2 linked regions of the Drosophila melanogaster genome follow. The protein of the gene in region 1 purifies or fractionates together with the protein of each later gene. This does not show direct contact. Each region holds a gene or a part of one and is shown in the gene's direction. Other genes may lie near its edges.

Region 1 (16,316 bases):
TCCGATCGCTACTTCTGTTACGACTGCCACAGCATTTTCGAGAACCGAAATAAAGCTGAGGAGCACATATGTCCGCGGGCGGAATCCGGCGGGTCCAGCCAACAAGATGGCGATGCGAAAGCACCCGTCCGGCGAAAGTTGGCCAGTGTCAGTGCAAGGACGGGTCCGAGAGACGCATCATCCGTTATTAGCTGCGGAATCTGCAACACCGTTTTTAGCTCGGAGAAGTTTCTCAAATTCCACATGCGCATTCATGAGAATCGAGCTCCCAAGAGCATTCAGGACGCCCTTCCTATAGGCGCCCATCAGCAGTACAGCGAGCTGGACCAGTTCTACTGCGAAATATGCAACAAAAGGTATGCTTATATCTGCAATAGAAAGAAATACCACGAATCATTTCCTTATTTACCAGCTTCGATGAAACCCTCCTGACGGTACACAAACAGATGCACCAACAGGAATCTAGTGAGATTATGTGCAGCATTTGCAACCGGAAGTTTGAGAACGAAGTTACCTATCAGATGCACCAAAAAATCCATGAGAAACCGCGCGACTCCGAGTCCTCCCGTAAATTAGCCCAGCGTACTAGTCTCGATAAGGAGAAACCCGGGTTTCCCTGCCAGTACTGCGAGAGGGTGTTCACCCGCCCCTTTGAAAAAGTCAAGCACGAACGGGTCCACACCGGAGAAAAGCCTTACGCCTGCGAGGTCTGCGGCAAGACATTTCGGGTGTCATATTCCCTGACCCTTCATCTGCGTACCCACACCAACATTCGGCCGTATGTGTGCACGGTGTGCAACAAGCGGTGGGTAAAATCAAGTTTCATAGAATTACAGTTTTAAATAACTTATTATTTTAGCTTTAAATCGCACCAAGTGTACTCCCACCACCTGCGCATCCACAGCTCCGAACGACAGTTTTCATGCGATGCGTGCCCCAAGACTTTTCGGACCTCCGTGCAGCTGTACGCCCACAAAAACACCCACACCAAGCCTTACCGGTGTGCCGTGTGCAATCGCCCATTTTCTTCGATGTACGCCGTCAAGAATCACATGCAGACCCATAAGGAGATCAGCAGCAAAGGAAGTGTCGGCTCTGGTACGCCGAACATTAAGAGTGCGGCCACCTCGAAGAGCCAGGCAGCTGGGAAGTTCTATTGTAATACTTGTGGAGCTGAGTACGCACGTCTCTTCGCCCTGCGCCTGCACATGAAGTCGGCTCACGGTTTGGTGGAGGAGCAGGAGAATCCCGCCACCTCAACTGATGCTGCACACGTCGCTGAGACCGATGATTCCGAGACTGCGGTGTTGATAGCGGCAGCCGAGGCAGATGCCGCTTACATAAACGCTGTGGTAAACGATGTAGACATCGTGGGCACCGTACCCACCTACGAAGAGTGCGTTGTGGTGAGTTACTAGTTCTTTGTATCTCTTCCCAAACTTACCTTTTTCTCTTCCTTTATTGCAGTTTGACGTGGATAACTTCCACAGCGAGGAAGTTATTACAGATTGGCTTAAGTAGCAGTTCACAGTTTTACATCCAATAAATATTTGTCTCAAAAATATGTTGTACCTTGAGTATTTTATTTTTGCGTTAGCTCCCCACACATTGAAATCCATCCGCATTGATGTAAGCTAATAAACACATTTGTTTTGATGTAGAATTAATGAAAGGAAAAGAGCATATCTAAACTAGCATATGGATGCGAAATGGTTTATATAAGTTGCACATAAAATACAGGAATACGAATTAAATATTGTGTGCAATTGTGCAAATGTAAAACTTTATTAGGATTATAACTGGCGTGTAACAAGTAAATATATTGCTGGCGTACAATTAGACCAGCCGTTGTGTTGGCTGACGACGAACAGGGATATAAACGCGATATTTAACTACAACTAAATGTAAAACCTTAGACTAAAAAAAACGTGTGATTGGTGTGTAGCCTAGGCGTTGACCTTGTCCTCGTCACCCGTAGTGTCGTCCTCCTCCACCTCGCTGTTGTCCTCTTCGCAGATCTCCTTCAGGACCTCCACCAAATTCTTGGCCTCGTCCAGTTCCTGGCGCATAGTGTCCATCTCCTCCTCAAGCCCCTCGATGCGCTCGTGCAGATGGCGGTTTTCGGTGAGCGAGTCCTCCAGCGCCAGTCGCCGCTGCTCGGCCAGCAGCTTGTAGTAGTTCTCGCCGGGTTCGGCTGTGCTAGTGAGATCCTCTGCCGTGATGGGCTTGTCAGCATTGCCAAGCGGAACGGCCTCAGCATCAGTCTGGGTATCCGCATCCTTTGTGGAAATCGCGGGCGCCGTGTCCACGCATTTGCGCTTGCCGTACTTGGGCGCGACTTGGACGCCGGCCTTCAGACGACTCAGCTGATCCACGATGGAGGCGCGCCCTGAACCAGTGAGGTTCTCCTTATCGTTTACGTTGCCCTGCAAGGGTTTCAGGGTCTGTCTCTGCTGCTTCAGGTGCTCCTTCTGCTCGGCCTCTGTCTCGACTTGGATGTAGACCCTGGCAGCGCTCGAAGACATCTTCGGAGATGTGTATTGTGCTTTCGGTGGGTTTGGTTGTCAGGCGGCAGAGCGTGTGCTACTTGCTTGTCTGTTGTTTATGCATTAATTTGTGCGCAACGCTTCACAGTTTTCCATTCGTTGTAATGGCCGCCAAAAAATGCCGATGCCGCGCGCTGTTGTCCAACACTGTTTGCTCAAGGGGCTGCATCACATGCAATTTCATCCCTCGATTTCGTGTCACGACTATCGCAAAAAGTTACCAAATTATTTTAGGAATGTAAAATTAAGATATCCCTTAAAATATAATTACAAACCTACAAAAATAATGTGAAAAATAACAAATCCTACGACTGCTATGTAGTAGAGTACTTCAAAATATTACCAATCATTCATATTAAATAATTATGTTAATAAAATATTAAATAAAAGCTTGCTGTATTCTTGCTGGTGGATGCTTATCAAAAAAGTATAGTATTAAAATTTCTGTATAAAGCAAAACTAAAAACAAAAAATGCAGCTTACTTTTTGGAAACAGTTTTCTAGCGATGTTTTTAAATTGAAAGAAAACCATACCTACCCTGTGTTTTAAACGACAAAAACAGTTAGACAGATACCTAATTTTAAAGTTAAATTTTTACTTCTTTTGCAAATCATAATTCATACTCAGCCAAGTAGAAGTCAAATATACCCCAATGTCGGATGTAGAATTTTAAATACTAAAAGGAAATGCCTAACATTTTTGAAAACATCATTAGCGTTTTTTAATAATAAATATTAAAATAGCTATAAAGCGAAGTATAAATAGGATTTTAGTTTTTATTTGTTTGGTTTTAGACCTGGTTATGGATCTTGAAAATAATTTAAAAGATTGTGTAAATTAGTTAAGAGATTATAAATAAGAATTGCTTGGATACTACCTTCTTATTAAGCTAGTACTCAAGATGTCCAAATAACATGTAAGCATTTAGCATTTAAAAGTATAAATAAAGAACTTAAAAGAGCTGTGTAGCTTAGGCTGAGCACCTTAAGTTTGATTGATGTATATTGAAGTTATAAATTCATTTGTTGGTCTTCTAGAAACGCGATTTCTGTGATATTCCGCCAGGTGGCAACGCCAGTCACGTCACGAGGACACGAAGGATAAACGTGCGATAAGAGAATAGCCGATAAGAGCTCCACCCAGTCGCAAAAAAGATGTAATTCTCGAAGTAGCGGATATAGATCGTTTACTTTTTTATTTTTCACTCGCAACTCATTCACCGCACCTCCATCCGCCCCACCACGTAGCAGTAGCCCCAAGATGGACCACAACGAAATCTCCATGACTATGGACGCCAAGCTGGATACACACGATAAGCGACCAGTGGCGCTGCGTTACAAGACATGGACCCGCTGCCAAGTGAAAATAGAGGCCATTAAGTGTGTGCCCTGCTTCCTGCGGCTCAGTTTCCAGGCCATGGAGACCGAGTCTCACTCCCAAGAGTGTCACCCCGCTAAACCCATTAGCGTCTCCGTAAACGTTCCGGGCGTCAGCTTGAGCCTGGCTACCTCGCGCACGAAGCAGCACTCGTACGGGCTGTTTTGGACGCAAAATCGGCGGGACTGCTTCATCTATTTCGCCCTGGAAACGGAGACATCCTGCCGACGTCACATGAAATGGATGCGGAAGTCGATTAAGAATCTGGAACTTTATCGCCAGGTCTTTCTAGAACAGCGCCGGCTGAGCAGGGGTCCCGGAGGTCTGGGCCCACTGCCTAACCTGCCGGAAACCCTCGACGCTAGCGCTCTCTCTCCGCGAGTCTCGCAAATATACGAGGAGATTTTTGACGGCAGCCGCATCTCCCGCGTCTCAATCGCATCCGGCATTTACGAAGAGATGAAGCCGTCAGTCATGGAGACTCCTTCACCGCCACCGCTGCCCGCACATCCTTACCGTCAGCGAATAAACACTTTTGAGTGCGCCCAGCTTGGCGAGATTGCGCGGTCCAGCACCAATCCCGAATCGGAGCTGGCCAAGAAGAAGAAATACAAGAACATGCTGGACAACCTGTTCGGGAGTTCACGTCAAAAGCGTTCCGGCAGCACCAGCGAGGTGGCCAATGAACCCAGCGATGAGGTCCTGCCACTGTATGAGAATGCCCCCACGCCGGAGCCTGTGCTTCCGGTAAAGCGCACATCCCAGTTGAACAAGTCTCAGCGTAATAGCTTCTCAAGTCCGGACTTGTCCAAACTCAATCTGCTGGACACCTTTGGAGAATACTTCGAGGCCCAGAACCATGAGTCGAGCATGGAGATAAACATTAGTCTGGATGAGTCGGTCATTGAGCCGATCTCTCGCAATGAGATTATTGCGCAAATATCTAGCCAATTGGGCAAAGCAGACTCTTTGGAAAGTCTGAATGTTTCGGAGCAACTTCCGTACAACTTCAACTTTTCCGCTTGTAACACGTCAACCATCAATCTCATTGGATCGCATGGAGCTGTTCCGCAGAGTAATCAGCTAAAGAAAAATAAGATACTGCACGAAGACCTTACGGGATACTGTGTAATGGCACCCATTTTAAAGGCGACGGTAAAAGATTTGCCACCACAGCCAGGCGGCAGTACAGTGTCCACATCCTCCGGATATTCCACGGGCTCCTACTGCTCCTCCACCAGCAGCTGTAACACGGAGGACCAGCCCACCAAGACGCAGATCGCCAATGAGAGTGACATATACGAAGTCATGCATGGAACCTCTCTGAACAGTACCGTCGGAGCGGCTGCAGCTGGATTTGCGGAACACCTCTACGAGAACCTTTTGGCTGTGAAGGCCGCACAGGAGCTGGAGGCGCAGCCTGTCGGCTTTGGACTGAGCACAAGCACACCCACCGAATCTCCCCTGGCGCCGGCCTTGCCGCAAAAGGGAACGCCCAAGGACAAAACTTTGCAACAGAAGCCAGAGGAGGAAAACTACTACCAGACACCAAGAAAGTCGATTATCAGTGTGGACGACAAGATACCCTCCTATTATCCGAACAGCTGCGACACACTCAAGTCAAAGCGACGCAGTCCCACCGAACATGGACCTAGTTTTAGGCACTTAGTCAGTTCCAAGTTGCGACGTGAACGAAAGGAGAACCTCTACATTTCCTCGCCCCAGCAAATCATTGAGCAGCGTCACAAGGCGGCCACCATCTCATCAGCATCAGTATCAGCCAAGACTAAAAGCTCAACCAAAAAGACTGCCGCCCACAAAATTTCTGACAGTGTTTATGCAGTCACCCATCCGGTAAAGCGTCCGAACAGCACCAATAGCAACAATACCCACCAAAGCAACAATAACAATAACAATGAAGGCGTGGATGACGAACTGCTGCACTTGACCGTTTTGAAGAACATTGACTTTAAGTTTGATGATAGCCAAGCATCTGAGGATTCCTGCAAGGCGAAAGCATCTGCTCTTCCCGTAGCGAACGAATGCTTTGTACAGCCAAATCTGGAGAAGGAGTACGAGGATCGCTTTCAAGCGGCGGAAAAGGCTAGTCGTCTTTTGCAAAAGTATGCGACGCTGGCCAAAATCGGGCATTCGCCCAGCAAGGCGTTGCCCGCACCAGCGCGTCTGGAACCCATGATTCAGTCTGTGGCCACGTCCAATGAGTTGCAGCCCGAGGGAGGCACCATGAAAAAGTTCGCCTCCCTACCACGCTTCAAGAAAATTGACTTTTCGCCGCTGAAGATGAGACTCAATAGTGTCCTCCAGAGAAATCCACCTTCGCCGCAGCACTAAAATGGATTCTCCGTTTTCCGTAACCATGTTTAACACTTCGCTGTGGACACAAACTGCTTTTTAACCATTTCGCTATTTATGTTGTAGTTTCTTGTGAATGTGATCTGATTAGTTCGACAAGTTGATTATTATGTTATCCGAGTATATAATACGCTTTCCCACGATGCACTTAGTATTAAGCCTTATATGTATGGTCATCCTGCTTTGTCAAATGTATTTTAACGAACCATATCCGGATCCACTTGGGGGGTCCCCTAGTATTACTACTGTTGTGAACCAACGATGAATGTCTAAGAATATGCTCAATTATGAAAATTTACAAAAACGCTTTTATACGTATTAAACCAAAAACCACATTGTTGACTCATTTAGGCGCCTTGTTGTTAAAGAAAAACTAAATTTAGCTAAACAATTTTCAATTCTACAGATGATTAATCGTCTACCAAAATGGGCTTACGCCGCATCAGATATTTTTTGGCGGCGTAGCCTGAACTACGCTTTTCGGCTTCGCATAACATATCAGAGATTAGTTAAACTTACAATAAAATGCTTCAAGATAGCATAACCAATGCTGAACTGTACCGTGACTAAACCATAAGCTTACAAATAAAATATGCCACAAAAATGAAGTAAACTTTACAAGCAAATGAAAAGGTGTTTGTTTGTTTTCAAGAAGGAATCACTTTATTTGCTCACTGTCTTAACTGTAAACCATGGGTCGTCGCCGTTCGTTTATAAACTCCTGTTCCACTCGCGAATCCTTGTGCACCACATAGAAGAGCAGAGCGCCACCGGAAACGAAAAACCCCTTTTCGGCGATTATCTCGGCCAGCTGCTTCTCCTCGTCCACCTTGTGGACACAGCCCACCTTGCGGTTCTCGTAGTAAACGTGCACGTTACCCAGGCGGTAGTTGTGTGCCTTGTCGTATGGCAGCTTTTCGGTGAGCAGCGTCGCCAGGCAATCCCGCATGGTGGTGGTCTCCGGCAGCTGCTGATAAAAGTCGCTGTACAGGAACTCGGGGTAGGAGAACGCAGCCGGCCAGATCAGAGTGCTGCCGTCCTCGTCTAGGTGCACCGGATGGTCCTCCAAAGGCAGAAACTTTGGATAAAGGAGCTCCTCACTGAGGACGTCCTTTTTGCCAACTTTTTGATCGTCAAACTTAATGGCGCGCTGCTCGATGGCGTCGCGGAGTCTGTGGAAGCGTGTAAGCCGTCGCTTTGCCTCGGCAGCTTCCTTGCGCTGATTGCGTTCTATCTCGAGCTACGGAAATAACTTGTTTAATGTGGGTTCCTATCCAGTTGGATCACGTATTCTAACCTTCTTCATCTTGTTCTTGTGCAGCAGCGCGATGGCCACCTCGTTGTCGACGTCCACCTCGAGCAGCTCCTCGCACATCTGGGTGCACAGATCGAACCTCTCCAGCTCGTACGCACACTGTGCCGACCGCCAGCGGGCCTTTGTGTAGTCTGGCTTGTAGAACAGAGCTCGCTGGGCGTCGCTCAGCGAGGATCTGTAGTTCTTGATGAAGAAGTGAGCCGCCGAGCGGTTGTTGTAGAGAACGGCTAGCACGTCGGGATTGTCCGTCTTGGTCTTGATGCCCTCGGTAAAGCTGTAGATTGCCATGCGGAACTTCTTGTGCTTCATGTAAAAGTTGCCATCCTCCTTGTAGTTGAGCGCCAGCTCGTCGCGCGTGTTCTCCTCCGGATCGTACTTGAGCTTCTGCAGACCCTCGAACATCGGATGCACGTCATCCCCTGGCTGAGGAGCACGTTTCATGAAGAACGGGTGCTTGTCCATCTCCTCCTGCCAGCGGTCCTCCGGCCAGCCCTCCTCGTAACGTTTCTTCTCCAGGCCATCGATAAACGCATCCAGTTCCGCGTCCAGCTGGGCCGCCAGCTCCAGACGCTCCTCATCCGTCCAGGCTTTTTGTGCCGCCATTTGTTTCATTTGGTCTAATCAGAAACAGTGTGACCGCAGACGAACCGTTACAATATACCAACTGGCCAAAGGTGCCGCACATTTCCTAAAGGTGGCGCCTCTAAAATAAGGGTGGCCCTCCGTCTATCGATAGTCGTACGCTTCCTTCTTTAAACGAGCTAAACTCGGAACGAATTATGATCTTAACATCTTAAATCTTAACATGGTAAAACTTTAAGCCTTTTGACGCTTTACGCAGCTGTTGTGATATATCAGAAACATCGATAGTCGCCATAACATATTGTTATTGTATGAGAGTTTTAAAATTATCGATGCGCTGATGACCCCTTCATCGGCGTTTTCCCACCCCTAATTGGCAGAGACGCGACTGAGCTGGGACGTACCGTTACCGTTGGCAGAGACGCGACTGAGAAATAAAATTAAAACGTCGACGTTCCTTCCTCGTAGAAGAAACCAATCAAAATAAAAACAAACAGAGCGTGCGTTCGCGCCAAATACTTAACAACAATTAGCAAACGTAAGAAGCAAAGTGAGTGTCGTCGGCTGCGGGAGCCCGTGTGCCCAGTTTGGAACTGGGATCCGACCCAGTCCACGTCCGTCTCGTCCCCGCTAAATTTGTAACTCTTGTTTCCCCGTCTTGTCCCCTCAGTGCATACCCTCACGGCGGCCATTGAGATGGACAAGCTGGATGCCAATCTTGAGCAGCAGTTTGATCTCAATCTCATCGAGGCTGTCAAGCTGAACCCAGTGATATACGACAGGTCGCACTACAATTACAAGCACTTTGTGCGCAAGGCCCAGACCTGGAAACAAATCGCCGAAACGCTCGGTGTGCCTGGTAAGTGAAATTCGGCTGGTTTTGGCTACGGGTTTTCTGCTTTCTGTCAGCCGTCTTCGGTCCGTGCCCCAACCAGCCCCAGCCAATTGATTAATTCTGTGCGGGCGCAGGTCGAAGGGGCGGGACAAGTCAGTCGACGACGACGACAGAAAACGACGCAAAAGTGAACGGCGACGCGGCGCAGTAGCTGGCTGATGGTTAGGAAATGGCAGGGGGGGATCTATACGTGTGAGGGTGGGCGCGGGCTGCACCGCTCATAAATTGCATTTTATGCGAACTTTTTTTACTGCATTTATATGGTTGCATTTAGAATACAGTTCATTAGTAATTAAACCTAGGTTAATTTCTATCTGTAAAGATCTGCTCTAAAATGAGCGCCCCTTTCGGGCGCTCGGACTGCGGCCCTGCTTGCTCTGTCGGTGTGCAGACTGTGCTCAGTCGATATTTTTGAAGTTGCTGTACTTTGCCGTCGCGTCGCAGTAGTTGTCTCGCTCGCTCCGCAGCCATTCTGCTTGCGCCAGCGTTTATTTTCGTACACTGCGACTGCGATGTGCGCTGCTCACACACGTATACATGCATACAGCATACAGTGGCAGAAAACAGTTTGGCACGGGTTATAAATACGTATTTATTAGTAAAATAAATAAGTTGCTCAGTTCTTTAGACGAAACTATGGATTTTATTTTAATATTGAATAGGATGAGAATTCGGAAAATTAAAATATAGGGCTTTGGAAAGGTCAATAGATAAGCACAAATTAGAACAGCTGTGTCAACACTTCAGAGTCCCACTGTACATACCGGAGACCGACCAGGCAGCTTTCGTTTCGTTTTCATGAGTATACCAACAAAATGTACCGTTCACCCCACCCCCTCGACGGCCGTTGATCGAACCTTAAATTTTCGGCCAAATCGCTGCACCTCATCCGCTTTCGATTATGCAAGTAGGTGGCTGGAAAGCTGGAGTTGCAGTCAAGTGGAGCCAGCAGCAATGCCACAGGTTTCCGTCTCCTGGCAGCGGGCAGCGGGAGTCGGCGACGTCACAGCCACCGTCACGTCAACGTCTCTGCTGGCGCTGGGAAGCTGCTGTCCGCTGCCTTCCTTCTGCCACCGACGCTGCTGCTGCCAACGGTTTGTTTTGGTTCCCGATTTGATGCTTCTTTGGGTGGGTTTGATGGCATAGTTCTAGTTTCTGCACAGTTCCGGACTACACTAGTCCAGAGCTTCTTGAAGAACCTTCTGTGGAGAACCGCCACGCACAGCTGCGCAGGTGTGCTTGCACCGGTTGTTATGAACAGGTCTTCGAGAAAAAAGCATTTATTCAATGTAACAGAAACAAGATTTTAGTTTATATTAGATTTGTAATATTTTCAGAAACATTTCATTTACTTACGAATCTGGTTTCTTTTTTCTTTTCATTTATAGAGGTATACTTTATCAAGCATTTGACGGGTTACCCTATAAAATAAAATACATACAGTTTGTCAAGAAACTGTTTACACACTGTGAAATAAGTTGAATTTTTGACTTTAAAGCTAAAAATAAAGGGTTTTTTGCTTAATTAAACGCAATTTTTTTTATAAAATATAATTAAACAATATTTATTTTACTTATAAATCAAAAAACAAATTAAAAATATTAAATATACAAGAAAATAAACAACAAATTCCAAGTTTACACACTTTTGAGACTGTCAAGAAACTCTTTACACATTTTGTTTTCCTACTTTGTTTTGTTCTTTTTCTTAGAACGAACTCGATTTTTCCGTTATTTTTGGCTTTGCATTGCTTTTTACAACGCTTCTATTGAAATTTGTTGACTTTGCTTGTGAAATTTTGCTGATCAAACGTGCTTAAAGCGAATTATTAAATTTAATAAAATGCCTGGAAAGAGATTAACTTTTGAAGTTACCCAATTAATAAACTATAACCACCAGTTGGGAAAATCTTTTCCAGAATTAGTATAAATGTTTCCTGTATCCCGTAAGACCGTCTACAATGTTTTAAAAGGCTCGGAAAAAGAGGGCAGGCTTGAACCTAAGAGTGGTGGTGGGCGGAAAACCAAAATTAACAAGCGAGTAGACCGCCTTATCATGCGAAAAGTGATTGCGAACCCCTGAATCTCGGTCAGATCACTTGCTCAGGATATCAGGGAAGAATGTCACCTAACTGTGTCACACGAAACTGTGCGCCAAGTCATCCTACGCCATAGGTACTCTTCAAGAGTTGCAAGAAAAAAGCCTTTGCTATCAGAGATCAATATTGAAAAGCGTCATTCATTCCCTGTGAATGATGGATCATGCGGAAGAGTACTGGGATGACGTCATATTTTGTGACGAAACAAAAATGATGCTCTTTTATAACGACGGGCCAAGCAGAGTATGGCGCAAACCGTTGAGTGCGCTAGAAAAACAAAATATCATTCCAACGATAAAATTTGGAAAAATGTCACTGATGGTGTGGGGCTGTATCACCAGCCGTGGAGTGGGAAAACTAGCCTTAATTGAGAGCACAATAAATGCCGTGCAATATCTAGAAATGTTAGAAAACAAATTTGAAGGCCAGTGTAGAAAAAATTAGTCTGGTTAGCAACAACAAGCCAAATTTTAAGTTTTACCAGGACATGATCAGAAACATAAAGAGTGCAATGTACGCACCTGGCGCCTTAATAACTGTGGTAAAGTGATCTATACGCCCCCTCAGAGTCCTGATCTGAACCCCATTGAAAATTTGTGGACCTACTTAAAGAAGAAGGTGGCAAAAAGGGACCTAAAACACAACAACAGCTTATGACTGTAATAGTCGAAGAGTGTGAAAAGATCCCGTTTGAATATGACCTGCAAAAACTTGTCCAATCCATGAAAAAAAGGCTTCAACTTGTAGCTAAAGCCAATGGGGAACATACTACATACCAAAACTTTTAAAATTTTAATAAAATAATTAAAAAATTTAGGATTAAACTTCGATTTAGTGTTTTGTGTAAAGAGTTTCTTGACAGTCTCAAAAGTGTGTAAACTTGGAATTTGTTGTTTATTTTCTTGTATATTTAATATTTTTAATTTGTTTTTTGATTTATAAGTAAAATAAATATTGTTTAATTATATTTTATAAAAAAAATTGCGTTTAATTAAGCATAAAAAACCCTTTATTTTTAGCTTTAAAGTCAAAAATTAAACTTATTTTACAGTGTGTAAACAGTTTCTTGACAAACTGTACATTTATGTACGTATGATATGCTGATATATGTACATACATATGTACAGTGACGCACCTAATTATAGGCACAGTCTTTTTTTTTTTATTTATTTCTATCACTTCATTTATTTGGAGGATTTGCAGCTCACGAAGAATGTTGATAAATTTAACTTTTCGCACTAGGATCATAAGGAAGGCGAAGGTCGCCCGAAAATCCAATCAGTTCACATTGCAGCCTATTTTAAAACCAAGGGAGAAGGCAATAATAGTCAGATGCCCTTTTCTTCGCAAACGTTTTTTTCTTTAAGTGGTAGTTTAGGAAAGTGTATGATGAGTTTGAACATTGCATCTCGTTGCTAGAGTAAACAATCTATATTGAGTCAGCCAGCTCATCCGTTTAGCCGATGTAAAATATTGTTTAAGTTAGCTGATGGACTTTTGGAAACATGTGATACATATTTTCGGCTTACTAAAAACATTTTTTTTATTATTTTTTAAGTGAGTCATTAGAAAGGCAGTCAGTAATTTCTCAAAAAAATGTGACGCAAATTTCAGACGAAATATGAGCTTATGCGACCTTTTTAAAATCTACCAACCAAGCAATAAAATAGTAGATTGAGTTTTCAGAACTTAAGGCTTCTTTATTTTGGATCATACATATATTAAATGTGGGTTAATAGACAATGCATACATAAAGGCAACATTAGTTTAATAACTATTAAATATGGACATTTAATAATCATAAACCAACAACTCTTTTTCATTTTAGAACAAAAATGTACGAAGCGCTGGAAGAGTCTGCGCGACAAGTTCGCCCGCGAGATGAAACTATGTCAGGAATCGCGCTGGCGTTACTTCAAGCAGATGCAATTCCTGGTTGACTCCATCCGCCAGTATCGAGAGTCGCTGCTCGGCAAGTGCGCCAATGGGAGTCAAAGCGCCAACCAGGTGGCCGATCCGTCGCAGCAGCAGCAGGCGCAGCAACAGACCGTCGTGGATATATTTGCACAGCCCTTCAACGGCAGCGCCACAACCTCGGCCCAGGCACTGACCCATCCGCATGGTAGGTGAACCAGCATTTCAGCACCAGAGATCCCTGCTAAATACTTCGGTCTCTTGCAGAAATTACTGTCACCAGCGATGCACAGCTGGCCACTGCCGTGGGCAAGGACCAAAAGCCATACTTCTACGAGCCGCCGCTCAAGCGAGAGCGCAGTGAGGAGGAGCACAGCGACAACATGCTCAACACCATCAAGATTTTCCAAAACAACGTCTCGCAGGCGGTCAGCGCCGAGGACCAGTCGTTCGGCATGGTAGTCACGGACATGCTCAACACGCTGGGCGTGCGACAAAAGGCAGAGGCGAAGGTGCACATCATCAAGTATCTGACGGACATGCAGCTTCTGGCACAGCACAACAAGTACTAACTGTCGGGCGGCTGTCATCGGCAGCTGCTGCAGCTGCTCCAACTGGAGAGCGTTCTGCCCTGAGATCAAACGAGAACAGACCCACGGCTACCCACATCCACATCTACACGGGTTTGGGGGTCCTGTGCGGTCATTTTCTACAGTTCATAGGTCTTAAAGTCAAACTACAGAATAACATTAGACGTAACATCCCACAGCGTAAACCATAACGCGTAATGATACTTCCCCACGCCCATGTAGACAAACATATATATTTATATGCTTAGTTGACCCCATGATCGGTGATTTAATTCGCGCCCAGTTCTCAGCTCTGTACAAAAAATGCGATTGAAAATAGCGATTCTAGAATTATGAGTAGCTTGTTAAAAGACCGTGGAAACACTTTATATGCAGCGTATTGTAAATTTTGACTACGATTTAGTTGTAATTTGCCATCGGGTCTTAGCTCTAAAACTAAGTATACACGTAAAAGTTATTTTAATTTTATAAGTTCTGTTGTAATATGCCGAAAACGCTTGAAAGACACTTTGAAATGCTTAATTAAGTGTGACAAAGGGAAACATAAAACACCTTTTTCATAGTGATCGCATATTACACACTTTACATGGATACGAGTAAAATCGAAATAGTTGCCGGCAACGCCAGTTGCTAAACATTTTTAATGATTAATTGTGCAATTATTTGGTATTAAATGAAACATTTGAAAGTAACCGACTAGTTTCAATCGGGGTGATATGGCAACGCCGCGAGCCAGCGGCATAAACAAAATCAGCTGTGCGGGCTAATGATTGATTTTATGTAATTGAAATGGCCACAAAATCGGATAATGCTGACTCAAAATCGGACAAATCAAAGGAATCACTAGATGACGCATGGGCAGTAAGTATCCAGCTACGTTAACAGATCCGAGACTCAGGAATCCCCTTTACAGATCCGACCCTGTCATCTGTACAAGGAGGAGTACGACGACTGCACGAGTTTTAAGGCGCGCTTCCACCAGTACTTTATATTTGGCAAGGACACAGATTGCTCCCAATGGCTAACTGATTACCGTAACTGCGAACGATATCAGCAGTCCAACGGGAACGATGTGGCTGCCGGCAAAGCGGTGATTAAAAGCGAGGAGGAGCGCCGAAGGATCCGCCTGCGCGCCCACTTTGCCAACGACACTTGGCAGAAGCGTAAGAAGCCACCGCTGGATTGGGCTGCTCCTCTGCCGGACTGGATGGAGAAGCGAAACGAGAATACCTATCTTGAGCTTAAGCAAAAAGAGCTCTCTGGACAGGCGGCGCCGCAAGGAGAGGAACGCTCGCTGTGCACGATCATGTGAAGATAAATAGTAAATTATTAGTTAAGAAAAGAAGGAAGTTGTTTCATTGTTCTTAAAAGATTTCAGTTTTTCAGCAATGGTTTCTAATAATCGGCGGTCTGGCAACGCTCGTGTCAGCTGTATTTGTTTCTGATAGTGCTGCTACATTTATTAACATTTATTACATTTATTATTATTATTGCTTTCATTAAACACGTAAAGACACATTTTTCTTATAAAACTCATTTGCTTTCAAAGTCTAGGTGTTTGTATTACGAATCAAACAAGTTGTGTAAAATCTAATAAACGTTAGCAGTGGTAATCGGTCTAAGAACAGTAATGCTGAGAATAGGTAATCTAGCTAAAAAATAGCTGTATTGACGACACATTTTGTGCGATACTTCAGATACGGGCTGATATCTACCTACATACCTATTCCGCATCCGCATCCCAACGCTCCAGCTTTGCCTAAAATGCTAAAGGGTAGCACACTGAAAGCCCTGGACGTCAGAATCCTATGGCCCCTTATTGAAACAAGGTCAGCAGGTAAATGTAAATTACATAACCCGAGGCCGACTCCAAACCGTAACATTGCGGCAGCAAAATTGATCGTGACACTCAGATTGCTCTTATCCTGTTGCAGTGGAGGACACCAGCGCAGCTTCTCCAGCAGCACCCACCGGTCCTACATAACATTCAATGATTTCCGCAAAAAACACCGCTGGTACACAAAAAAGGAGCTTGTGGGGTAAGTGAAATGTCAGCGCCCTTGGTGAAATCATTTCTCAAGTACCATCTGCTGTAGCTACTCCATGCAGGACATGTACAGCGTGGTTTCCGACGTCAGCAATTACCACAAGTTCGTGCCGTATGTGAAGCGCTCCGATGTGCACAGCCGGGGAAGTGAGGGCTTCAAGGCGGACCTCATTGTTGGCTTTCCGCCGCTTAACGAGGCCTACACCTCGCAGGTGACCCTGGTGCCGCCCAGCTTGGTTAAGTCAGAGTGCCACGATGGACGTCTGTTCAACTACCTCCTGAATGAGTGGTCTTTTAAGCCGGGCCTCAAGGACATACCTAACTCCTGCGTGCTGGACTTCAAGGTATCGTTCGAGTTCAAGTCCCTCCTGCACAGCAACGTCGCCAACATATTTTTTGACCTTATCTGCGATCAAATGGAAAACGCTTTTATCCAGGAGGTCCGTCGACGGAGTGGTCCGCCCTCAATCCGCTCCCACGTGCTTACTTCGGATCGGTCCTGACCAGAAGAATTGTGGAGATGTTTTTTCTTTAGTGATTTAAGTTAAAGTTGTGTACATTGCGTTGTCAAACCTCTT
Region 2 (16,139 bases), on another chromosome or scaffold:
TTTTCCGAAATTTTCCATGGAGAACAAAAAGTTGACTGACCAATTGGGCAAACAAATCAAATCATTTTTATCAGTGCGAGCAAACAGAAACCGCCACACATATTTGCATTTTTTATTGTTAAACAAATATTGTTTGACCTTTAGCTTATTTGATCGTCTTCCACAGAACTTAATTTTCATAAACGGGGAATTGAATATTATTCGCTGATAAGCGATTAGCAGTGAAACAAAGAGGAAAAGCGCAGAAAATTATGCGTAGATGACTGTGAACACAATTGGGAAAATGTAACAAAAAAATTGATCAATGCCTCTTAAATGATTATAATAATTTATTTCTAACAATTTCTAACTACATTTCTACAGTGGAATTACATTTCAAGCAACTACTACTTTTTTGAACTAATAGAAGAATTTCCACACGTGATGAAGTCAACGCAAAGATAAATAAGTTTCTTACAATTCGAACATCGAAGATTGTGCTGCAAACCATCAGAGTCTCAGGCAAAGGGGGTTCATTATTCCTAAAATATGTTGAGTAAATGCTAAAATAAATAAATTAATTATTAATCAATTATATATAATTACGCTCGAGCCCTAGAAAACAGGCTTACGAATGTACATAGTTCCAAAAAGATATGCCTGATATATATACAATATCTATGTATATCTACGCCTCTGTTCAAGATTTCTGGATTGAGTAGCTTGGTGGGTGGATGCATAAATAGTCGAGCCACGCCAGTTGGGGTGGATATATAGTTTCTATATTGCTTCGCACTGGGTGATAATTTAACAACAACAAAACCAAATTGCCAATGCGAAACTGTTTTTGTGTTTTACTTTTATTTTTGCTTGGGTGCCTTTTTTACACACAGACGCAAACACTCGCACACAGCCGCACACCCACACACATGCGGAAAGTGAGTGACATGTGAGGGGGTGGCAAACTTCCCCCTTTGGGGTGGTTTGGTTTTTGCTGGTGAATGTTTCTGGCACAAAAAGCAAGAAATTCACATAAAAATATACGACTCCTCATTATGATAATACGAAAATAAATGACAGTGGTGTTTACACTCTAACGGTGAGCACGGAAAATGCTAAGGATACAAGGGATACGAATTTGGGGGGATTATGTGGGGCAGGGAACGAAGTGTTAATGCAGCCACATTTTTTGGGGATGCAGAAATACTAGCTATTCAGTGGCTTACATGGGAAATAACAATAAAGCGTAAAAATACTTAGGAGAATATATCATCTGAGTATATAAGGCAAATATTTGTAATATATTATTATTATATATTCGCTCCAAGATAAGTTATACTTAAACTTATACTTGCACAGTTGAGCTTTGGCTTCATTCATTATTACAGGGTATCCTTCCCGCAAGGTACATTCTGATTGCCAAAATAAATCCGGAATCTGGCATTTCAACGCATTCATTAGAAAATAAAATATTCTGCTTTGTCCTCTCGCATCCTGTTTATCCGTGCTAACGTTTTATGCCTTTTGTTCTTGGCACCCACACCTTGGACGGGACGAACGAGTCCTGGAATCGTCCTGATGGCCGCAATCTTAGAAAAAGAATTACTTATTCAGCGCTTGACATGGGCTTTTGGCCCGGCCTAAAAGCCTGCTCTGCCATGTTCTGGCCAGCTTGGCATTGGCGTTGACTGTGCGACTAATAGGCTCGCATATTTATCGTAAGAAGTTCAATTTTTTATTCGCATTTGGGCCGTACGTTTTCCGGCTTAGTTTTGCCGGGGCCATTACCGACATTTTCCGCAAAAGAGCCCCGGCCATTAGCTAATTCTTTTTGGTCCGGCCAGTGAAAGATGAAGAGCGAGCGAGTGAGAGCGAGTGAGAGCAAGGAAGCTTCTAGTTGGGCAGGAAAATGAGCAGAATTTTTCAGCTGCCGTTGACGAGAAATACGTTACATTTTGCCATACGCTCGAGTGGGAAACTCAGGGGTCAACAATTAAATGCCATTTGCAATAAAAACAAACCTGGCTGGCAATGAAAAATTATTTAAATGTGTAGCAGCGGCCAGGCATTTGCACAAATGTCAAGACGGAAAAAGGTCAGGCGACCCGGTTACGGGTGAGGGTCAGCCAATGGTCAATTAAAATCGCTCTAAACCGGAATGACCCCACCTCCGGAGCCAATTTCGCACCGAATCGAACCATTTTTCACAACATGCTAAACAATGGAGCGCAAATTTCGCCGAGTCCCGCTCTGCAAAAATCCTTCGCTCGACTGTTTCAGTTTTCAATGTCGAGCCATAAATTTGACCCCAGCCACCCCTATATGTGTGCCCTGTGAACTGACAGCTCTCCTTAAGGCGTCTTAGCCGTGACCCCGAATTGATGCAATTTCTCCCCGCACATCCGCACATCAACATATTCGCATTAATTTTAACCTCTGGCTGACGCTGACAAGGGGTCAGGATCAGAGCGCTGGCGCGCGTTCCCAATTTTATTATATTTTTATTTTATTTTTACTCTACTTTGTTTTACGCTGACCAATGGCCAGGGGCCAACCCCCGATCGACGCATCTGTAGCGCCGCAGGGGTCACGAAAGTGTGAAAATGTGGACTGATTAGACGGCACATCGTCCTGCGTCCAAGGATCTCTATGGGGTGGGTGAGCGGAATGCTCGTTTTTGGAGTGGGGGGTAGAATATTTGGCGCTTATTTCCCAATGCCGATTGCCTAAGCTCGGGATTTGGTTTGGGTTTGGTTTTCAGATCTTTCGGACGCTCAACAATGGACCATTGCAATGGTCGGGGCTCTAGAGTCCTTTTTACATTTGTCCAATGCCCAATGTCCGAATTCATTTCGCTGGCGACTTAGTGGCCTTAATTTCCAGCGAATTACGAATGTAATCGCACCAAATGTTCGGCCAAAGGGATCGAATATAATTTGTGGGATTTTCAAGAATTTTCCACGACCGTTACTTATGGACGGAACATTAAAATGATTTTTATTTCTATGCTAAATCTGTTGTATTTACTTTTATAAATTTAATGTGTTTAATCTGTTCACATTTTTAAATACTTCGTATGCTATCAAAAAAATATTTTAAAAATTATTTAAAAAAAAGAAATTTTAGACGATGATCATTTTCAAGGACCTTAAAATAACTACATGTCACTTTCAGGTTTTTACATTTGAAGTTCATATTCATAAAGTTATATATGGCTTTTAAAAGTGCTGGAAATTTTTCCTACAAGTTCTTCAGTATTTTCCAAGTAGTAAAATGTAAAAACAGTATAACCCTTTACTCGCCTTAGCCCATTGAATTCACTCAGTAAACCCACCGAGAGCCAAAATCGAAATTAACCCTTTCGCCTAATGACCAAAACTAATTCCAAGAAGATCGCGGCTTGTAAAAAGTGCAATGGAGTTTTCGCTTAACCCGTTCTCCTCCTAGCAACTTTCTCGTCCGCCAAAGGGTTGAGGAAGTAGGGATTTGGCCGTGCAACGAGGCTCAAAGGACAAAGGACACCATAAAAAAGAAACAACCGAGGCGTCATAAAGAAGACAATGACGCCGACATTAGGTGGAAACAAAAAGAGAGGAGAAAACGCAAAGCACACAAATTGTGGGCCGTTTCGAGGGAAACGGGCAAGGACACTCACAGGATGCGATTTTTTCTTAATGGGTGAAAGGGTTGAGGTCGCGCACAAAAAACGGCAGCCAGCTACCTGCCCGCACCGTTGGTCATAAAAAACTAAATATTTTACGATCGGACCACAGAAATGGGATGTCTTACGCGGAAGTGTGTTTTTTGCGACGTTTTTTAGGCTTCAAACAAGACGGCTGGTACAATTGTATGTAGAGCGCACCGCTCTAATGACCATTAGACTCATAGATATTGTATCTTTGTGTGTCTTTCGAAGTTTCTCGCGATTTTCCAGCTACTTTCATTGTTAATCGAAGGTCTTACCTGACCAAAACAAACCGGGACCGAAGCGAAATCTATGGAATAACATGCAAAGCGAGTTGCCTTCATAAAATCTCGTGGCGTGTCGACTGGAAATCCACCAGACGATTGTCCTGCGCGTCCTGCCGTCGTCCTTCGCACTATTGTTTGGCCGCATAGCCAATTTTACGGCGTAACCATTAAGGCGGACAATGAAAATTAGAGCAACTATTCGCCCTGCCCCGGGACCTCTGCTCTAGTTTCCTTTTTTAATCCTTCGGTTTTTCGTGCTAAAAAAGGATTTACGGATGTTGGCCGAACGCCCGTGTACACAGCCATCCTGTTTACCATAACATTTCGGCGGAATTTTAACGCAGCCCTCTCGCTTTCCACCCATTTTCGTGGGCGTAACCCGCGAGCACTTTTCGCATCTGATTTATGCGAAATGTTAATTTTTGCGGCTTCCTAAGGGCTTCGACATGCCGGAGAAGTGTGCAAAATTCACCAGCGAATGTAGCAGAGATTTGCAAGTGTTTTTTTTTTTTTTTGCTACCTAAGGACCACAGGACTTTTTGGTAAATTGTTTGGTTTTGTTAGGGAGTAAACCACGAAGTGACTGAGCACAACGTTCTAGTCATATATAAGCGATAAGTATTATGAATCGAATACTTACTGTCGTTTCAAACTACACCAAAAATTATAAATTCAACATTTTTGAAAAAAAAAAAAACTAACATCATTGAACCTATCCTTTTGGATAGGTTTCTAATTGATTCAATACAGGATTACTCTTATATAATCTAAACTTTTTTAATCAGCTTCCAAAACCTTTAAGTATGCAACTACTCTCGAACAGCACTCTAGCCAACAGTAGCGCATAAATCTAAGTAATTGTGTGGCGAAACCAATTTGCACTTAAGATCAAAGAGCCAAATCGCCGTACAATAACCACACAAACCAAAACAGCCAAAAAAGAGAATCCCCTTCAGAAGGAAAGAAAAAACCTGAAGTAAAATGGCAAATCATCCTTGGCATGAAATCAGCTTACGAACTCAAGGTGATATCTCAACAGGCCGCAGGACAAAGGTCAGCAGAAGAGTGCGCCAAATCAAAACACAAAAAAAAGTGAAATCCTAATGAGATACTCCCTCCAGGGGCGAATCGGTCGACCACAAAATCCCAAGCGCTTGGCTGCACATCTTACAGATACATTTGCATATCATTTGGGAGATGCGAAGATCATGAGATAAAGATGTGCGGATCCGCCCTGTTGATCTGCCCAATCTTCCCCTCGAAGGAACTTCTGTTGAGACAGCCGCAGGCCAAAGGTTAAGGATAAGGATCATTTGCATGCGTGGCATGGACTTTCGGCAATTAGACGATCATGATCATCAGCATGTTTGTGTTTGTCCCGATCACCGGATAGGTATATCGCAGCTCATCAATTAAAAGGTCAAGCGTGACGGTCCTTGGGACTATTTGTTATGTCCTTAACTTCAACTTTACATAACTTTCCAAACGTAACTGGGTAGGATCCACACAGCACCCGCCCGCCTAAGCAACGCTAATCGGGCTGATCAGCGAACGCTAATCGCTCGGGACTAACTGGATCCTCCGGATCAGCGGCGCTGATCCTGCGTGATCCTGCGTACTGCGTAATGTTGGATTATGTCCTGTGCAGAAGTACGGCCAACTTTTAAATCGCTTTTAAATCCACATCACTCTAGTTCCAGTCGCACTTCTTCGGATGCGCGGATTAATGAACTGGGCGGGCCGATCAGGTAGCTTTGCGTCCTTTAATCCTTTCTTCGCTAAGTCCGGTTGCAGTTCGTATTCGTAATCCGGTTTGCCATGTCAACGTCAATGGCAGGTCTACCTCCGGTACTACCTGTTCCCGAGACGTCCTTTTGACACATATATTCCTCTGGATATGTGAGAGCAACTTGTATAATTTGCATTCCGGCGGCGATTTGTTTGCTCTGTTGTTTTGTAAATATTGCTTTTACATTTTCCCCACCCCCTCTGCCAACGCCCTAATTTCTCCCCGTTCCACTTTAGTTTTAGCCAAAATATTCGACATAAACAGGAGATTTTAGCCCAAATATTCCACATAAACAGGAGATTGAATAAAATAGCTGGAGGCACATTAATTCCGAACTTAATTATGAATTTGCATGTATGTTTTCTTTAGAAAAACTCTGATCCATACAAATAATAAGTTATCCTTTTGTATTGTATAGAGAAAAAAAGGTTTTTACCAATGAACTATGAATAATGAATAATAATAATAGTTTTTTTTTTTAGTCCAAAATTTGTCATTAAACCTAGTTAGAACAATCGCTCCTAATTTATCATTCTAAAAGCGAACATTCCGCTTGGGAAAAAAATTGGTCTAAACCGAATGATACTATTAATGATATGCATTTATTGCTAACCATAATCCTTGTCAAGCTAACAATGATACATTTTCCGAAATTAGCTTAAAAAGGTGGAATACACCCAATATGCACAAACTACCTTAAGGAGATTTGGAATTTCGAATGCTAATTGTGGCAAAGCTTTGCCCAAATTAAGTTAACACGCACAGCAACAGGAAAATGTGTTAAAGCAACAAGGAATCTCCTCGGCCCAAACTTCCATCGTCCCAATTGCAGTTGGCTAAGTTGTTAATGTGTCTGGGCTTAAAGTTGCCCAAAAAACAATTGGCGAAGGCCCCCCATCTTCCTCCATTTCCGCTCTCTCACTTTTGGGCCAGAAATCAATAATCAATAGTGAAGCGGAGATGCCAAAAAACGGCAAAGAGCCAAAAAGGCAGCTGCATTCGGCCAAAATGCAGCGCCAGAAAATGCAAAAGGATAAAATGAGCGAGTCAGAGCGAGAGAGTGGGTGAGTGAGTGAAAGAGCGAACGCCACGAAGGGGATGCTGTTTAGTTATTGCTTTTGGGGATGGGGAAAGTCACTCAGATTTACAGCTAGCATCCGTATCCGTTTTGAGTGAGTTTCGTCGTTACGTTGTTGATGCTCTCCGGCTGCTCTCTCATTTCGATTTCTGCTTCTCCGTGTAACGGCTCTCGTGCGCCTTTGTGTTGTTGCACTTCTGGCATTTGTTTTTGCTTTGCAATTGAGATTTTAGATTTGAGTTCTTTTTTGGCGAGTGCACTGTTGTGAGGAGCAGTGAGGAGATTTTCAGCTATTAGAAGAGCCCGCTGAGCGTGAGTTTGGTCAGTTGTGCTCCGAGTCCCGAAAACGAAAGTCGCCAGCATTGACAGGCAGCCACTGAAATACAAAAATAACCAAACATCCAAAGGACGAAACGTAACTGCTATCAAAACAAATATTGCCATTAAATACAATTAAACTTCGTGCTTGTGCTAAAAGATAACCAATTGCAAAAAGACTTTTGTCCCGAAAACTTATTTTTTGGCAAAGACCACATCCCGCACATGCGCGAATTCCGCGAAAAAGAAAGCACAAAAGCAAGCTAAAAAGCGAGGCCCAAAAAATAGACAAAAACGAAGAGCAAGGAGCCCCCACATCGCCGCTCCCCCTCGCACGCACTGTGCGTGTTGGTCTAACGGTAACCGTGCCGCGGTCAAGCGAGAGAGTGGGAAAGAGAGAGTCCGCGAGCGAAAAGCGAAAACTTACGTGCTCCTGCTCCTGCTCCCGGTTCCCGTTTCCAAATTCTCCCGCAGAATTGCACTTGGACTGTCCGCAAGGTAAGTAACTGGGCGTACCATCCAATATCCTAGTTATACACTGCATTCGACCTCCAATAAATCGTAAAAAACACATGGAGGTAGAAATTCGCAAAAGCTTTCCGCGGATAAACAAATAAACAAGAATTACAAATCGCTTTTGCGGGAGCAAATGCCAAAATGTTGGGGTATCCAGAATATACACAGTTTTTGTGAGGATTTACATACGCCCTGTAAATTTTAATTTAGTTCTCAATTGATACGAAATCTGTTTTTTTTTATAGAATATATTCGATATATAGTTGTTTAATTATAATTCATCATGTGATATACTTTCAAAAGAAACAGATTTAAATAGTTCGTTTATATGCTATTATGCACTATGCTTAATGTATTTTACTTTATTAATTCATGCTAATCTGATGACTGATAACCAATTTGCTTATTCTATGTCATAATCACCTTTAATCCCAAGTACTCAACTTTCTTCTAGTTCTGCACATTTTCTTGTTCTCTTCTTGTTGTTTGTAATCGAGTGCTTCTTTTTCTGTCTAACCTTAGGAACACAAACAAGAGATCTCACACACATGCACACACACAACCACACAGAGTGGTAAATCATTGCTAAAAATGCAAATGGCAAAAATTCTAAAACAATATTTTAAAATCTGTCTGGCTTTTGGCCGATCTTCGGGTGAACTTGTTTTTTGCCCGCTCTGTCTGTTTTTGCCTAGAACTGCAGCGTATATCCAACCCCCAACCGACCCCCCCCCCTCCTCATTTGCTCCTCCTAAGCAACGCCCCTGGCCACGCCCCCCTCTACGCCTGACAGCTAATTTTATTTGTTTACATGTCGACTTTCATGTTGTTTTTTTTTCGCCTTCCTGCCCCCCAAATAACCCCTTCAATTTTTAGCATTTCTTTTCGCTCTTCTTTCGGCAAATGCATTTTCGACTTTTCTTTTTTAATAATTTAAATTTAGACATCGAACTATAATTCAAAGTCAACGTGGCAATTTTTTAATGGCAAATAGTTCGGCACTTGCCAAAATGCATTTCAAATATAATGAATACACCTATGTGACGCTCGCAGGCTTTGTTTTTTTTTTTTGTTTAGGATGATGATGGGAATCATTATTGCACGATCTTTTGCAGAATTGATTGTCATCCGACAGTTTTAATGTTTGCCGACAAAAAGAACTGAGCGCATTTCAAACAAATGGGGCTTTGTTAGGCGCATAAAAATAAATATGCACATATTATACGGGATATATTTATAAACCGCAAATGACATTGAATCACTTCAGTCAGCAGCAGCAGTGCAGTTTTCCCTAAACGAATGCAGCTCCAAAAAACAACAAGTTGTTCTAAGCCAACAACATAACGGTTGCAACTACACATATGTATACGCATACATACATATATTTTATATACGCCTGCAAACAAGCAGGCATATCCTGCTCTTGGCTTGCTTTTTGTACGGATTTTTCAACAAAAACATTTTTTGTGTGGCGCATTTTCTGCGTTTTCGAATTTTTCCATTTTTGCCATTTTCATGATATTTTTAGAGGGTTAAAAAGGGGGCGGTGTTGGGGTGGGGGGGGAGGCACCAAAAACGACTAGCACATGTTTAGTTTACTTTTGCAGTTTCGGTTGCCTGGCTGCACTCGTTGTGGCCACACCACGCCACTAACCCCCACTGCATGGTCCCCATGCCCCCACCCCTGCCCCCTTGGCCCATGCCCCTGCCCGGCGTAATATTAATTTTACACTTGGCCTTTAGTTTGGCTTTGTTGCTGTTGTTGGGCATGGCACAAAAAAGCCCAGACGAAAGGCGAAAATTCTCTTTGTTTCATAGTGCGCACACACACTAACACACTTGCCGAGCAATTAATTTTGGCTTTCTTTAAAAATATCCACAAAAGCGAATTTAAATAAATATGCTAAGCTTCATTTTGTGTGGTGCACTTTCTGTTTCCTGAACCATCAATTATGCCTAAGTATTGTAGATATTTTAGCTGCCAGATAGCACAGCACCATCCTCCCATAATAATATTCCGTAAATGCCCCTTTTTCCCGTTTTGCGTTTTTAATAATATTTACTTGAAAGCACAAACAATTAGCCAAAAATGCAGCAACTGCACAATTTTTCAGTGTGAAATTGGAAATGGAAAAAATATAGGCAACAAGCAATTTTAATGCGAGAATTATTAGAAAAACTACGCAAATCAAAGTGAAATGTCTGGCGGAAAATTGTTGTCAGGAAAATGTTTTTCAAATGGGTGTGTAATAATTATACTGCACATATTATGCATATAGTTTAGTTGGTCCTTAGAGTTTTCCCGCAGGTGTAAGCAGTTCTGATCCGTTAATTTAGTTAAGTCCCGCAATCCTTTTTACTTTTTATTATTAACTACGAAACTGCCCACGCTAGCTGCCTACTCCTGCTGTCGACTCCTGACCAACGTAATCCCCATAGAAAACCGGTGGAAAATTCGCAGCTCGCTGCTAAGCTGGCCATCCGCTAAGCTCCCGGATCATCCAAATCCAAGTGCGCATAATTTTTTGTTTCTGCTCTAATCCAGAATGGATCAAGAGCGCAATCCTCAATCCGCGATCCGTGATCCTCGATTCCCGACCGATCCGCGACCTGTACCTGACTTCCCGTCACCTCTGCCCATCTAATCCCTTGACGCGTGCATCCGTCTACCTGAGCGATATATAAACTAATGCCTGTTGCAATTGTTCAGTCAGTCACGAGTTTGTTACCACTGCGACAACACAACAGAAGCAGCACCAATAATATACTTGCAAATCCTTACGAAAATCCCGACAAATTTGGAATATACTTCGATACAATCGCAATCATACGCACTGAGCGGCCACGAAACGGTAGGATATTGTTAGCCATTACCAAGTGTCTCCATTTTGAACACAAAATCACTCAAATCGCCTTCAGGGGGTGGGTGCCGCCCAGCCACCCCTGACGTATTTTTTGTTAGGGGTGGTGCCGCAAGCACACCAAAAAAAGAGAAAAAAAAAATAAAAGCGAGGAAAAATAAAATGAAAAACAAGCGGAAAAAAAGAGGAAAAAACTCGACGCAGGCGCAGTGCATGAATGAATAAATGAATATGCCCACTAACCCCACTCTCTCTGTTTTCTTATCCATTACAGCCGTCTAGAGCCGCCAAGATGCAGAACTGGGAGACGACAGCCACGACCAACTACGAGCAGCACAACGCCTGGTACAACAGCATGTTCGCGGCAAATATCAAACAGGAGCCAGGTCATCATCTCGACGGGAATAGCGTGGCCAGCAGTCCGCGCCAATCGCCCATTCCCTCGACCAATCACCTGGAACAGTTCCTCAAGCAGCAGCAGCAGCAGCTTCAGCAGCAACCCATGGATACCCTGTGCGCCATGACCCCATCACCCAGCCAAAACGATCAAAACAGCCTGCAGCATTACGATGCTAACTTGCAGCAACAGTTGCTGCAGCAACAGCAGTACCAGCAGCATTTCCAGGCAGCCCAGCAGCAACATCATCACCATCACCATCTGATGGGTGGATTCAATCCGCTGACGCCACCTGGTCTGCCCAATCCCATGCAGCACTTCTATGGCGGCAATCTGCGACCCAGTCCGCAGCCCACGCCCACATCTGCCTCCACAATTGCGCCCGTTGCAGTTGCCACTGGCAGCAGCGAGAAGTTGCAGGCACTAACACCACCCATGGATGTCACACCGCCTAAGTCGCCGGCCAAGTCGAGTCAGTCGAATATTGAGCCGGAGAAGGAGCACGATCAGATGTCGAACTCCAGCGAGGACATGAAGTACATGGCCGAGTCCGAGGACGATGATACCAACATCCGGATGCCCATCTACAATTCGCACGGCAAGATGAAGAACTACAAGTGCAAGACCTGCGGCGTGGTGGCCATCACCAAGGTGGACTTCTGGGCGCACACCCGCACCCACATGAAACCAGACAAGATCCTGCAGTGCCCGAAGTGCCCGTTCGTCACCGAGTTCAAGCACCACTTGGAGTACCATATCCGGAAGCACAAGAACCAAAAGCCCTTCCAGTGCGACAAATGCAGCTACACGTGTGTCAACAAATCCATGCTAAACTCGCACCGCAAGTCGCACAGTTCTGTGTATCAGTACCGTTGTGCGGATTGTGATTACGCCACCAAGTATTGCCACAGCTTCAAGCTGCATCTGCGCAAGTATGGTCACAAGCCCGGCATGGTTTTGGACGAGGATGGCACCCCGAATCCCTCGTTGGTCATCGATGTTTACGGCACGCGTCGTGGTCCGAAGAGCAAGAATGGTGGACCGATTGCCAGTGGAGGAAGTGGCAGCGGCAGCCGGAAGTCAAATGTTGCAGCTGTCGCTCCGCAGCAACAGCAATCTCAGCCAGCTCAGCCAGTCGCCACATCTCAGCTGAGTGCCGCCCTGCAAGGATTCCCTCTGGTTCAAGGCAACTCCGCTCCTCCGGCGGCATCTCCAGTGCTCCCGCTGCCCGCCTCTCCTGCCAAGAGTGTGGCCAGTGTGGAACAGACGCCCAGCTTGCCCAGTCCAGCCAATCTTCTGCCTCCTCTGGCCAGCCTTCTGCAGCAGAACCGCAACATGGCCTTCTTCCCCTACTGGAACCTCAATCTCCAGATGCTGGCCGCCCAACAACAGGCCGCTGTCTTGGCCCAATTGTCGCCAAGAATGCGAGAGCAACTGCAGCAACAGAACCAGCAGCAGAGCGACAATGAGGAGGAGGAGCAGGACGATGAGTACGAGCGTAAGTCAGTGGACTCTGCCATGGATCTGTCCCAAGGAACGCCAGTGAAGGAGGATGAGCAGCAGCAACAACCGCAGCAGCCGCTGGCCATGAATCTCAAGGTGGAGGAGGAGGCCACGCCTCTGATGAGCAGCTCGAATGCCTCGAGACGCAAGGGACGCGTCCTCAAGCTGGACACCCTGTTACAACTGCGATCGGAGGCCATGACATCTCCCGAGCAACTGAAAGTACCCAGCACACCCATGCCAACTGCATCCTCGCCCATTGCCGGACGCAAACCCATGCCCGAGGAGCACTGCTCGGGCACCAGTTCGGCAGATGAGTCGATGGAGACGGCCCATGTGCCGCAGGCCAATACCAGTGCCAGTTCGACGGCGTCCAGCTCGGGGAACAGCTCCAATGCCAGCAGCAATAGCAACGGCAACAGCAGCAGCAATTCCAGCAGCAATGGAACCACCTCAGCGGTTGCAGCTCCTCCATCCGGAACTCCGGCGGCGGCGGGTGCCATCTACGAGTGCAAGTACTGTGATATCTTCTTCAAGGACGCCGTGCTCTACACCATTCACATGGGCTACCACAGCTGCGACGATGTGTTCAAGTGCAACATGTGCGGCGAGAAGTGCGACGGACCCGTCGGCCTCTTCGTTCACATGGCCAGGAATGCTCACTCCTAAGTTCCCCATCACCATCACCTTGTTATTATTATTTATCACTATTATCATATAATCGTTGTCCAGAATTGTATATATTCGTAGCATAAGTTTTCCAAACATTATTTTGTTGTCGAAAATTGTACATAAGCCAATTAAGCCGCTAATTCTAGACCTAAGTTTATCTAACTATCCTAACTGTATTGAACTGTAGCCACCTTTCAATCTGTCTCCTATACACTCTTGTATTTTCGAAATCGACTAAAAACCCTGAAAACGGTTTAAAAACTATCATAAATGCATGGAGAAACATAAGCCTAAGTTAAATCTAATTTGTAAGTTGAGTCAAGCGAAACAACCAAACAATACCAACAGTCCAAAGTCAAATTAATAAAATATAGTTTATAACATATACATAATGAGTATGTTTTCTAAAATAATTAATTAGTCTTATTTAACCTAACATATTCGTATATGCGCATAACACTCAGTTCTTTCTCTGATATTATTCTCTCAGTATTTTGTTAGTTGAAAGCGAATTCGAATCGAACGAAATCAAATCAAATAAATCCAATTATTCAATATAATTTCACAAGTTTTTCGCTTTTTTTTTTTGTTGTTAACCTTTTGGCAATAATGACAATATTTTCGATGCAACTGAAACTGACGAAAGAAGAAGTACAAATTTAGAGATTTTTAAAGAGTAGCTAAGATGCGCGAAATCTGAGCAACGGATCAAAATTAGTATTTACCCCATAAAATCTAAGTCGAGGTCATGAAACGAATTTCGAGACTTAAGATGTGAGCCCAGTGTAATCCTTGATAAATCCCATTTTAAGTAAATTAAACTAGTCTAAGATATTTGCCCACGAAATGTTTTTATGCAATAACATAATAAAGATGAAGATATTATTATTATTATACCTGACTATGACTTTAGCTTTCATTATTATATATGGTGTTTTATTTAGTGCGTTGTACTATGAACACTCATACATATCCTGGAGATTCCTTTAACTTTCTTCAACAGAACCCCAGCATATTATAATATATCCCTTATCCAACCATATGGCCAAGTACTGACCAATGGAACTGTCAACACGCGATCTTTAAACATGATTTATCGCAAGCGATCACCCTCACCAAAAAAGCAACTGAATATATTGGGAAAATTGTAAGTATGTATGCATCTTCTTTTCAATTGAAGAACTGCTCCATCATGTGCTAAATACCCAAGTTATTAGATGAAAAGGAATAATATACAATACAGAATTTGTGTGCGGGCGCAACCCAACAAATTGGACAAGCTCCTGCTTTCTTCCTTCATATTTCAATGCATCGAATTTTGATGGATTATTGACGTTTTGCGTGAAAACGCACAATTCGCATTGCATATGAGAGGGGCATTATATAATAATGAAAAACTCATGAGCACGCGCTGAAGGAGCCGGAGGAGGAGTGGCAGGAAGATGACGCAGCAAGGGGACTCCTTCTGCAATCCGGGATCACTTGGGATCGATCCTTGGAATTTTTTTTGGGGTTGGCGCGCATGCGTCCAACGCACTTCAGCCAAATGGCGCGTGGATAAGGGGAAATTCCTTCAATTTTCGGGTCTCGAGTGGAAAGTCAGTTCTATAAAAATAGTTTTCTCCAAGCTGCATCTGATTGGTGGTTGAAGGAATGCACTTCTCTAGATGTTAATTCCATGTAAATTTCGTTTAAATGCCGTTTTTCCTCATTAAATCATTCCACCAATAATTGATATTTATGGACGAAATTAATTTCGTTGGGAGTCAAGGGTGAGTGCGGGGCCAAGATGATGGTTTAAGGCGTCTGATCTTATCGCAAATTAGATTTTGCATATCCCCTTAGATTAAAGCCTCAAGCCAGAAGGATCTGCACATCCTTGTTCATTTAAGCGAAGTTAGGTTGGCAATTTGCCCTTTGTACCGGATAAACTCTTGGCTTGTGGCCGCCGCAAGCGAAAGATGTTTATCGATAACGAAGGAGTCCCTGCCGCATTGTCCTCATTTGAGCTAACGATCCCTAGTTTCTGGTTTTGTTCCTCGGTTCTTATCTCAGCTTGTGGCTTTGTAGCATCTCCCTTCTTCCTGCTGCCCGTCATTGTTTGCGAATAGACAAAAAAACAAAAATGCAGAAGAGTAGGTGGAGAGTCCTGGCCACTTTGTGTCCTGCGAGTTCTTCAAATAGTTCAATTGCCCGGCCTGCTGACCATTTGAAAGGTGTAATTTTGGTCGTGTTAGGGTACCGGGTCCCTTCTCCTATGTCCTGAATGCAGCTGCTCTTGCCATCCTCCTTTCCCAGCTATTGACTCACCTTTTGACTCCCCCAACACTGATTGATCAGCAGGACACGCGTATGGCACACTTTCACAATACATAATTTGGGCTTTTACCACTGCCCCAACTCAATCGGCAATTATCAAAGCTAGCTAAGTCTGGAGAATTATGTGCACTTGGAAATAAGAACAAAACTTCCTAAGCTAGTTAGTTAGTTATTATATTAAACGTTTTATAAATCATACGATTTGTTATCTTAAATATATTTTATTAAACGATAGAATTACTTAAGTTTTGTAGTATTACAGCATACTCGTACATATGATGGAACTTGGATTATTTCTTTAATACTCAGCTAAAAAGGGCTGTGATCTAGAGTATTTCATAAATTTTCCCTCAGTGTATATACAAATAATAGTCGCTTGGTCACATGTATGTACATATATCCCACAGGGCTAAGCAACGCCATAAATAGGGTATTTATGTTTAACCACCACCTTCGACTTCGCCATTTTGGGATGGGGGATGTGATTCGGATTTGGTGTGGGTTACGGATTGAGTTTTTGGTGCCAACGGTGCACGATATGGTGGCCATTTTTAGCAGCTCTGCCACCAAAAATAACACAAAACCAAAATAGCAAATATTGAAAAAGGGGAAAGGGGTTAACAAGGGTTTCCACTCACCCAAAAATATATAGTAATATACTCGGGGGGTAACAGGGCGACATGTTGTGGGTGTTTGGTTGATTAGACGGCGTCCGGGGTGCCCAATGGCCACATG

What was found.
Region 2: the proteins of Adf1 (region 1) and hb purify together in Drosophila melanogaster (affinity purification with western blotting; one study listed by BioGRID). This does not show direct contact.

Annotation. Positions count from the first base shown.
Region 1 is NT_033778.4:6,653,705-6,670,020, forward strand, and holds Adf1 (Adh transcription factor 1), read left to right. Parts: upstream 1-8,565; 5' UTR 8,566-8,743; coding exon 8,744-8,744; exon of another isoform or gene 8,745-8,864; coding exon 8,865-9,053; intron 9,054-9,690; exon of another isoform or gene 9,691-10,352; intron 10,353-10,445; exon of another isoform or gene 10,446-10,491; intron 10,492-13,015; coding exon 13,016-13,309; intron 13,310-13,368; coding exon 13,369-13,673; coding exon of another isoform or gene 13,674-13,736; 3' UTR 13,737-14,381; downstream 14,382-16,316. Other genes in the region: Opbp (Optix-binding protein), read left to right, coding at 1-356, 413-805, 860-1,406, 1,468-1,521; geminin, read right to left, coding at 1,947-2,525; sced (scrambled), read left to right, coding at 3,808-6,276; Dpit47 (DNA polymerase interacting tpr containing protein of 47kD), read right to left, coding at 6,977-7,537, 7,595-8,224; CG15908 (uncharacterized protein), read left to right, coding at 14,481-14,552, 14,605-15,003; CG9410 (uncharacterized protein), read left to right, coding at 15,456-15,730, 15,788-16,241. UniProt on the Drosophila melanogaster protein: May play an important role not only in the regulation of Adh expression but also in the transcription of other genes.
Region 2 is NT_033777.3:8,688,821-8,704,959, reverse strand, and holds hb (hunchback), read left to right. Parts: upstream 1-7,137; 5' UTR 7,138-7,634; intron 7,635-10,359; exon of another isoform or gene 10,360-10,504; intron 10,505-10,787; 5' UTR 10,788-10,805; coding exon 10,806-13,082; 3' UTR 13,083-13,471; downstream 13,472-16,139. UniProt on the Drosophila melanogaster protein: Gap class segmentation protein that controls development of head structures.